Linked DNA regions of Canis lupus familiaris. The protein of the gene in region 1 purifies or fractionates together with the protein of each later gene. This does not show direct contact. Links are inferred from orthologs where the notes say so. Each region holds a gene or a part of one and is shown on either strand. Other genes may lie near its edges. The genes, in order: PAM16 and DNAJC19.

The links.
Region 2: the proteins of PAM16 (region 1) and DNAJC19 purify together in Homo sapiens (affinity purification with mass spectrometry; 3 studies listed by BioGRID and IntAct, with this or other methods). This does not show direct contact. The link is inferred for Canis lupus familiaris from reciprocal best matches to the Homo sapiens genes PAM16 and DNAJC19.

Annotation. Positions count from the first base shown.
Region 1 is NC_049227.1:37,332,197-37,336,568, reverse strand, and holds the start of PAM16 (mitochondrial import inner membrane translocase subunit TIM16), read right to left. Parts: upstream 3,064-4,372; 5' UTR 2,910-3,063; coding exon 2,907-2,909; intron 2,515-2,906; exon of another isoform or gene 2,088-2,514; intron 1-2,087. UniProt on the Homo sapiens protein: Regulates ATP-dependent protein translocation into the mitochondrial matrix. Inhibits DNAJC19 stimulation of HSPA9/Mortalin ATPase activity.
Region 2 is NC_049255.1:14,375,267-14,379,842, forward strand, and holds the start of DNAJC19 (mitochondrial import inner membrane translocase subunit TIM14), read right to left. Parts: upstream 2,875-4,576; coding exon 2,872-2,874; coding exon of another isoform or gene 2,702-2,871; exon of another isoform or gene 2,082-2,701; coding exon 2,030-2,081; exon of another isoform or gene 1,948-2,029; coding exon 1,874-1,947; exon of another isoform or gene 1,285-1,873; intron 547-1,284; coding exon 467-546; intron 1-466. Other genes in the region: uncharacterized protein LOC119867493, read left to right, coding at 2,702-3,241, 4,545-4,571. UniProt on the Homo sapiens protein: Mitochondrial co-chaperone which forms a complex with prohibitins to regulate cardiolipin remodeling.

The DNA.
Region 1 (4,372 bases):
CCCACCAAGGCCACGAATGTTCCTGTGGGAGGCTTCTCCAGGGGATGAAGTGTGGTGTGTGGTCATACAGGCAAGCTCTGGGATCACCTGTGTGCAAATCCCAGCTGCATGCCCTGCACAAGCTCTTATGTTCCCTCGGCCTGTTTCCTCACCTGTGAAATGTGGTCAAAAACAGCACTGTCAGATGGATGTGATGAGACAATGTAAAGTGCCTGACACAGAGTCTGATGATACAGTAGCTACTCAATAAATGTCGCTTTACATTTATTACACTGATTTCACAAAACCGGACAATGGTCAGATACTATGGAGTAGCAAAGCCTTTCCCAATAAGGCAACTCATTTGATATAGCCACTGATTCCTCAGGGGAGAAGGCTGCAAAAAGCCAGGCTCCGTGCCAAGAGCACTGAGAAGCAGTGTGGAAGAGGAGGGAGAGGACTGCTTTGGAGCTTAAACCTGGACTCCCAGCTTGTCTTCGCTAGCTGTGTGGCCCTGCATAAATTACTCAACCTCTCTGAACCTGTTTTCTTATCTGCAAAACGGAGAGAATCATACCTTCCTTACAGGAAGGCTGCAAGGTCCTCAGAAGGCAATCCACATAAACCCAACCAGTCAGTGGCAGGTTCAAAGCAGCCCAACAGCTGCCTTTGCTTCTGGACTAGACCCTGCTTGGTGCTGGACGGTCCAGACATCAGGCAGTATGGCCAAGCTTCTCATCCATCTATTCAGTACCCAGTGCCAGCTGTGGGTCAGCCAGATCATTGTTCTGCCAGTTACAAGAGGAGATGATGGCAGCCACTGGCTGAGGTCTCTCCTAGAAAGTCCCCAAACATCCCATAGTCCACTGACTGACACTTGGGCCTGAAGACCCTGGACAAGAACAGTCAGCTGACATGGCATCCAACTCAGGGCAAGCTGCCAGTCGAGGAGCAGAGGTCAGAGACACAGGTCGCCGAGCCTGGGAGCCACTGTGGATGACACATCTGCTTTCTCATCTGAGGAACGACATAGCCCAATGCAGAACCACACCTCTGCAGCTGGGACAGAAGACCACAGGCAAGCGTTGGGGGACACGGAGGAATGTGGCGCATCTCAGGTGAGGTGCATTACGAAGGGAACCTGGTTTTCAGACAGCTCAGATGTGCAATGTTCCCTTCAAAGCTTAGTTCTCAGCCCCTGGGCTGCTGGGCAGACACTGCCACTGAGACTCACCCCCTTCTTGAGGATGTTCACCCCAAAGCCCCTGCAAACAGCTGCTGGCATCACGACTAGGCGGGAGGGCAGTCAGGACCACAGTAAACCTGGCGCCCCCGCCTATGGCTGGCATGGCAGCCCAATCGATCGTATTTGAATGAATGTGACACTTAACCAGGCCATCATCAGCAAAACTATGTCCCCAGACAGGGTTTCCAAATGCCTACCGCTCCCTCTGCTGGAGGACTCAGGCCATCCTCCAATACACACAACTCCGCGGCCAGGGCCTGCAAATTCAGCCCACTTCTCAGCTGGGCAATCTCACCTTGGACAGCTACAACGGCTCTGGTTTTCTCTCCCCTCACCTCTCGGCCCTGCAGCCACACCATCTACTTCTAGATCAGCTCTTACTTCTTTTACCCCCATGTCTCCCAACACACACACACCATACAAGTCACTCAAGTATTCAGTGATTTTAGGGTATTCACATACCTCTGTAAACACACTAAAAAGTACAGAATATTACTAGTCCTGGAACATTTTCATCACCCCCCCAAAAAAAACCCCCAATACCCATTAACCTTGACTACATCGTCCCTACTACTCTGATACTCCATCAAAACCCAACATCCTTCAAGACTTAACAGGAGGGATGCCTGGGTGGCTGCCTTTGGCCCAGGGCGTGACCCCAGGGTCCTGAGATCGAGTTCCACATTGGGCTCCCTGCATGGAGCCTGCTTCTCCCGCTGCCTGTGTGTCTGCCTCTCTTTGCGTCGCTCATGAATAAATAAAATCTTAAAAAAAAAAAAAAAGACAACACAATACTCCCATATTCCCTCTAAGCCAAACCTTCCCAGAGCACTATCTGTTCTGTCCTATTTTACAGACTTGCCTGATTCCTCCTTTAGGATACAGACTGGTCCAGAGCAACATTTTACGTGGCTCTTGAGGGGGGCTCAGAGTTACAGGCAGGAATGCGTGAGCAGGCCGCGGTCCAAGGGTTGGGCATGACCCGGCTCAACACCTGCCTCTGGCACGGCTGGATGAAACGACCCTGGAGGAATCCAACTCTGAGATTCAGGCTCCTACTCTGTGAAATGGGGACCATGGCCCTATGCATTTCACAAGCATTAAATGAGAGAATCCACGTGAGGCTTCCAGTGCAAGGGCCTGGGGGCCTTGCAAGCTCTTGTGTTATCCTTCTTATTGGTTAATAAGGGGCTCCCCAAACCGGCTGCCTCCGAGGACAGAGCTCAGGATGCTGCGTGTTTAAAGGGTCCCCAGGGGACTCGTCTCCGCCAGCGTGGCCCGGGTCTGCGGACTGGCTGCGGGTGCCACAGGAAACGCGGAGACGCTCAGCTTTCGGGGTCGCGGGGCCCGCTCGAGTCCCAGGCCAGCCACTTCCTTGGCAAAGTCTCGGCGCCCGTTTCGTCCGTTTCCAAAGGGCGACACCGCCAACGGGCCGCGCGGCCGCGCAGGGCTCCCGGGCTGGACCCGACCTCCGGCGCGGCAGGGGGCACGCGGCGGCCGCCTGTGCTGGGCATTTTCCGGCCAGCCAGGCCCGCGCCGCCTTCTGGGCGAGAGGCCTCCGTGGCCCCGGGCCGCCGGCCCCCGCCGCGGTCCTCCCGGTGCGACGCTCCCCGGCCCCGGCCCCGGCCCCGGCCCCAGCCCGGCCTCCCTCACCGCCCGGCAGCGCCCGCTCGTGCCTCACCATGCTGGCCGCTCCGCCTCAGGGTTGCGGGCTCCGGCTTCCTGGCCCCGCGGCCCCAGCTCAAAGGCGGCCGGCAGGTCAGAGGTCAAGGGAGAGAGAGCGCGTGCGTGACGCCGCGCTGGGCATGCGCGTTGCTCCCTCCGGGGGGCGGGACGGGACCCGTGACGTCACGGCGGTAGGCGGAGCCGCGCTCAGGTGATGGGCGGTCCTAGGACCCGCGGTGGCCCTCGCGTTCGCCCTGCTGCGCGACGTGCCCCAGGATAGACACATCTGTCAAATGAGGGGCAAGCAACCTCTTCCCTGGATTTTGCCAAGATATTTGGTACTAAAGGACATGAAGTAAACATACAACACCCCACGAAGAGGAGGATGCCAAAGGCTCACAAATATGTAAGAAAACAGGAAACCTGGGATCCCTGGGTGGCGCAGCGGTTTGGCACCTGCCTTTGGCCCAGGGCGCGATCCTGGAGACCCGGGATCGAATCCCACGTCGGGCTCCCGGTGCATGGAGCCTGCTTCTCCCTCTGCCTGTGTCTCTGCCTCTCTCTCTCTCTCTCTGTGTGACTATCATAAATAAATAAAAATTAAAAAAAAAGAAAACAGGAAACCTCAAAACGGGCTTCCTTCTAGTTTCCTTCTATCTGGGAAAGAGATCTCTCTCTCTCCCCCTTCAAGTGCTTGCTCGATGTCACCTTCCCAAGGAGGCCTACCCCAACCTGCTACCAATGCTGCAACTTGCCCCGCATTCTTTTGTGCTTTAGTAACCCTTTGGGATAAAGTTCACACACCATCCGGTTCACTAAAGTGCATAATTCAGTCAGCGCTTCTTAGTGTATCCACAGAGTTGTGCAACCATCACCACCAGAACACCAGAACATTTTCATCACCACCCCCCAAACTCCCTTCGCATCAGCACTGGCCACCGCCCCCCCAGGCCCTGACCACTAAGCTTGGGCCCGTCTATGGTTTGTCCCCTGTGAACAGCTCTTGGAAGTGGAATCATCCTGTCTGTGGCTTCTGTGTCTGGCTCTCAGTCCCCTCTATTTTTACCCCCAAAGTTCTTACTCATCGCCTTCTGCCATATTATAGAATTCATTTATTTTATGTGCGCTGCTTATAATCTGTTCTTTCCCCCAGAAGGTGGATCCCTGGTGGGCAGGACTTTCCTCTTTTCTCCACTCTTGGATGGGTGGCCGGCACGTGGGAGGCACTCAGCACACCATCACTGAATGAACATAAATTGGGCTGCCCTGGATTGTTTTGGACCACCGCCCTCTCCTCCAACTCTCCAAATTTTCTTCCCTCAGTGCAGTGGCTGCTCTTCCTTTTATCTGAAGTGTTCTCTCAGCTCTGTGGCTCAGTTGCCTTCAGGTCTTGCCTCTCTTGACTTTGCACACCCTGCTCTCCCTGCATCTCCGCAGCTCCCTTTCACATAATTTTTTTGTGTGTGTGAATTAAGCAATCTC
Region 2 (4,576 bases), on another chromosome or scaffold:
TCTCCCCCAACTCGTGCTCTCTCTCAAATAAAATCTTAAAATTATTTGAACTTTCTAATCATTATATAAGTCCTTTTATTGAAAGGGAAAGCATGTTGTATCTGAAAATGAAGGCAGAATTTCACTACAAAAAATGTTATAGGGCAGCCCTGGTGGCCCAGTGGTTTGGCACTGCCTTCAGCCCAGGGTGTGATCCTGGGGACCTGGGATTGAGCCCTCTGCCGGTGTCCCTGCCTCTCTGTGTCAGTCATGAATAAATAAAATCTTAAAAAAAATGTTATAAAGAACAATAATCTTTCAGTGAATTAAAAAGTCCTTATGTGCTAGTGTGCCTTCTCACTGGACTTTTACAGGGAGTGTTTAGATATTACAATGTATGTAACCCTATTATAACTCTTAGTAAAAGGATATTTGCTCATATTCTCAGAGTTGTAGAAAAATATTACAAATATTAGAAATTATTTACCTTACGCCTAGTATTAGTGCTGCTTCTCTTTTTGTCATTTTGGGTTCAAATCCACCTCTATAATAGCCACCACTGAAGGCCTGAGAGAGGAAATGCATTCATAAAAATAGATAATAAACTGAAAGTTGCTAAAAAATGTTGAAAATGTTCACAGCAGAAAAATTAAGACAATTCAGAGAACTTTAAAACTACTACAGCATTTTAGCTTTATAGGAAGCAACCAGTATTTTAATGATATTAAACATCAATTTTTTCCTCCAGAAAAATTCTAAAAAATGTAAGACAGAAGAGGTGCCTCATAGCCAGTTCTTCTGGGAATAAAGGGAAGCTTATTCCAAGTTAGCTGTGTTACAGGTGAAAATTTGACCTTAAGAATATGATTATGTGTTAGAAAAACAAGGGCTGGGATCCCTGGGTGGCGCAGCGGTTTGGCGCCTGCCATTGGCCCAGGGCGCGATCCTGGAGACCCAGGATCGAGTCCCACGTCGGGCTTCCGGTGCATGGAGCCTGCTTCTCCCTCTGCCTATGTCTCTGCCTCTCTCTCTTTCTCTCTCGGTGACTATCATAAATAAATAAAAATTAAAAAAAAAAAAAAAGAAAAACAAGGGCTTCAAGAAAAGGATTTGGAGATCTTTTATGATGAGTGGTTCAAGGGTATTCTGAGAGTCAAGGTAACTACTAAAACAAGACTTTTAAGGTATGTATGGAGGGACGCCAGGGTGGCTCAGGGGTTGAGCCTCTGCCTTCGGCCCAGGGTATGATTCAAGGGTCCTGGGATGGAGTCCCACATGGGGCTCCCTGAGAGGATCCTGCTTCTCCCTTTGCCTGTGTCTCTGCCTCTCTCTGTGTCTCTCATGAATAAGTAAAATCTTAAAAAAAAAAAAAAAAGATATCTATTGAGAAAACCAGGCTACCAGATCATATGAGTAAAGCCTACCATCAATCACCATATTGTCACATTCAATTACAGCAATAAAAATACTAACAAGCTGTCACAGCCAAACATCACATCCAGTCATACTCTTTAGCCTACTTCACTCTGGTGCTACCCAAGTATCTTGGGGAGTGCCAGGGCCACACAACACAGGATCCCTAGACACTGCAGATCCTTAGATCCCTGTGTTGGTCATGCAGAGCAAATGAGGGAAGGCAAGAATCTGGACAAATGGTACTGAAGTTCTCTAAACAATAGTGATTATTAACTTTCACGATACTAGAATTTCAATACCTTAGCCACAATTCTGTCACAAGCCTCAGAACTTCTAAACCCTGTTTGTGGGAGACAAGAGAAGGGGCCCAAAGCACTAAGAACCTCATGGATGTTTGGAAATTTACCCTCTCCAAGTGTGACTCTAAGCTTCCTACATAGGCAGCAAAGAATTAGCAAAAATGTTTAGCATGTCTTACAGATTTTGGTAGACTCTGAAAAACTTGTTTTACTTGAGGTTCCACATGTTTCATGGCTTGCAAAACATAACGGCCTACAAACAAAAGCAACAGAATAATTAAAAAAATCTCCAACCTCCCCTACACTTCACTTCGACTCCCAAACCATAAACAAACCTGCAAATCCCGCAGCAGCAATGGTCAGTCCAACAGCTACCACGGTACTGGCCTGGTAAGGGGAAGCAGAGTGAATCATTTACTTCTGGAATTCTCACCTTTCCCTATGCGTACCTATCGTCCCATCCTAAACTCATTACAAGTTTTACTTCAAAGGGGAAAACAACTTTGAGGAAGAAAATCGCCTGCCCATGATCTCTCAGGAGGACTGCAGCTTTTTGACTCTAATTCATTGTAAAGCTGTGGGATTTTCAACTGTGAAAGGGAAGGGCGAGTGGATTTGCTTATTTACTTTTACGACAGTGGAACTGAACACCTCTCATCTCTGGGCAAACGAAACCACACTGATGTTCAATCAAGAACGAAGGAAGTAACATTTCTGCTGGAGAAAGCACGATGTGAGGTCCCCGCAGAATTCGGACAACACGCTTCCACGTCAAAACGTGGGCCGAAGCGCCTTCCACCCTGTGGCGTCTCCCGGTCCCCGCGCAGAATCCCCCATGTGTTCTGGGCCCGAGAAGAGACGCGTCGGCCGGAGTCCAGGGGAAGGACACACTAAGGAAGGTCGCGAGGCTGCACCGGGCGAAGAGCAGCGACAATCAAACGCGTTTCCACTAATCTCGGAGCCTCGGGGCCGATGGGCCAGAGACCGGAGCCCCTGGCGGAAGGGCCATGGAAGACCATAAAGGCCCTAGAGGGGTTGTGTCCCAGAAGGTGTGGCTGTCCGGGGCCCTACGTCTCCAGCCTAGAGTCGCAAGGGGGAAGAAAACCTCGGCTCTTTTCCTCCGAGGTCGCGAGGCCTGGGCCCGAGACGGCTCGGGAGACCGGCAGGCCGCACTCACCATGGCTCCGGCTCGGCTCCGCGGCCTCCACCGAGAGCGCGGCTCATCCCAGCCCAAAGGCCGCAGCCAGCTCGCACGCTTCTACCCGACGGCCAAGCGGCCCCCGCCGGCGGCGGACGCAAACCGCCCCGCCAGCGGCGCGTCAGGAAACACGGCAGCCGGGCGGCCAACGGGCCGGAAAACTGTCGTAAACGGGGCCCGCGGAGGGCCAGAGGGGAAAGGTCGCTGGAGCAGTGGGCAGGTGCAGAAGGCACCTGGAGATTGGCTGGCGGCGGGCGGGCCGCCTCCTTCCTCGGGCTCGGAGCTGGGGCTTCTCCGTTTTGCCCTTGGCTACCAGGCGGAAGGTATTTGGAAACTCCTGTCGGGGAAGGTATTGATGCCGAAGGGCGACGACGACTACCGAGTAGCCTCACTCAGAACGCTCCCCCACCCCCCTTTGCAGCACGTGCATTCGCCTTTCATTTTGTTTTTAATTGTCAAGGGTAATGAACATCCTCAAATATGCCGTGACAGTTCCACCTCGAAGCCAAATAAATATGTGGCAAGCCGGGATAGCAAACGAGAATATGTCCCCCCGCCCCAAAACCAAAACAACAAACCACATTGTGTTTCAGGGCTGCTCAGTAGCGTTTTCTTATTTAAAAAGGATTTTTAATTTGTGACTTGACCTCGTGTAAATAAATATCTGGGGTTTTGTTTTGTAGAACGGAAATGTTCACTTCAGAGACAGTTAATATTCTGAACACGGGGTCCCCAAATCCGCACAACCGAAAAGGGCTATTTCAAATTTCTCTCCCTTTCCTCGAAAACTAGCATCAGTCTCATAGATCCCCTAAGTAATAATCAATGCTTGAGAAGAGGAAAGAAAGGAAGTTTTACAGTGTTTGGATGATCAAGTAAATTTGGAGTTACTTTCCAGTTAGAACTTACTGAAGTATTAGAAATCAGTTTACGTAGCAATGAAATTCTGCTTCGATGAATTGGTTGCATGTTAGAGATGTATGCAAATTTGTTGGTCTTGTTTTCCCCATCTTTAAAAAGGTTCTGCATTTGGATCTTTAAGAATTCTTCTAGCCCTGCGATTTTTGTGATGTAATCTATTGTCAACCAATAAATGTATTCTGTAAAGAATTACGTGTCACATAAAGATTCTTTTATTCTGTATATTTTTTGGTATATACAAACTACACCATACAGCTTGCTTGAGGAGCAGGTTAACATGAGGTAGCCCAGCCTCAGGAAGCCAAGGATAAGTAACACAGAGACACTTGAAGTGGACAGGGCTCTTGTTTTTGGAGGCAAATCAAAATAGATGTACAACCCAGTTCTGTCACTAGTTGTATGACTTTGGATAAGTTGTTTCTGAGTCTTCTCATTTGTAAAACAAGGGTAATGATGACTACCTCACCAAATTTTTGTGAGGGTAAAGAATTATGTACATAATATGCTCTGCATGTAATTATCACTTAATGTGTTGGCCATTATCATAATGAGGCATGTTGAAGTACAAATTGGTGTGCAGAGGCCTTCCCGATTCTCATGATATCTCACTCATGGATGTAAGCCTGGTAATCTTTTCCATTCCCGCTAAGGACATGGAAAGAACCTTTAAAAGTAAGTTTTTGAAATTTCTATCCAGTGATGAATGGATAATTATTCCTTGCTTCTTCTAGCTTCTGATGACTGCTAGCATTCCTTGACTTGT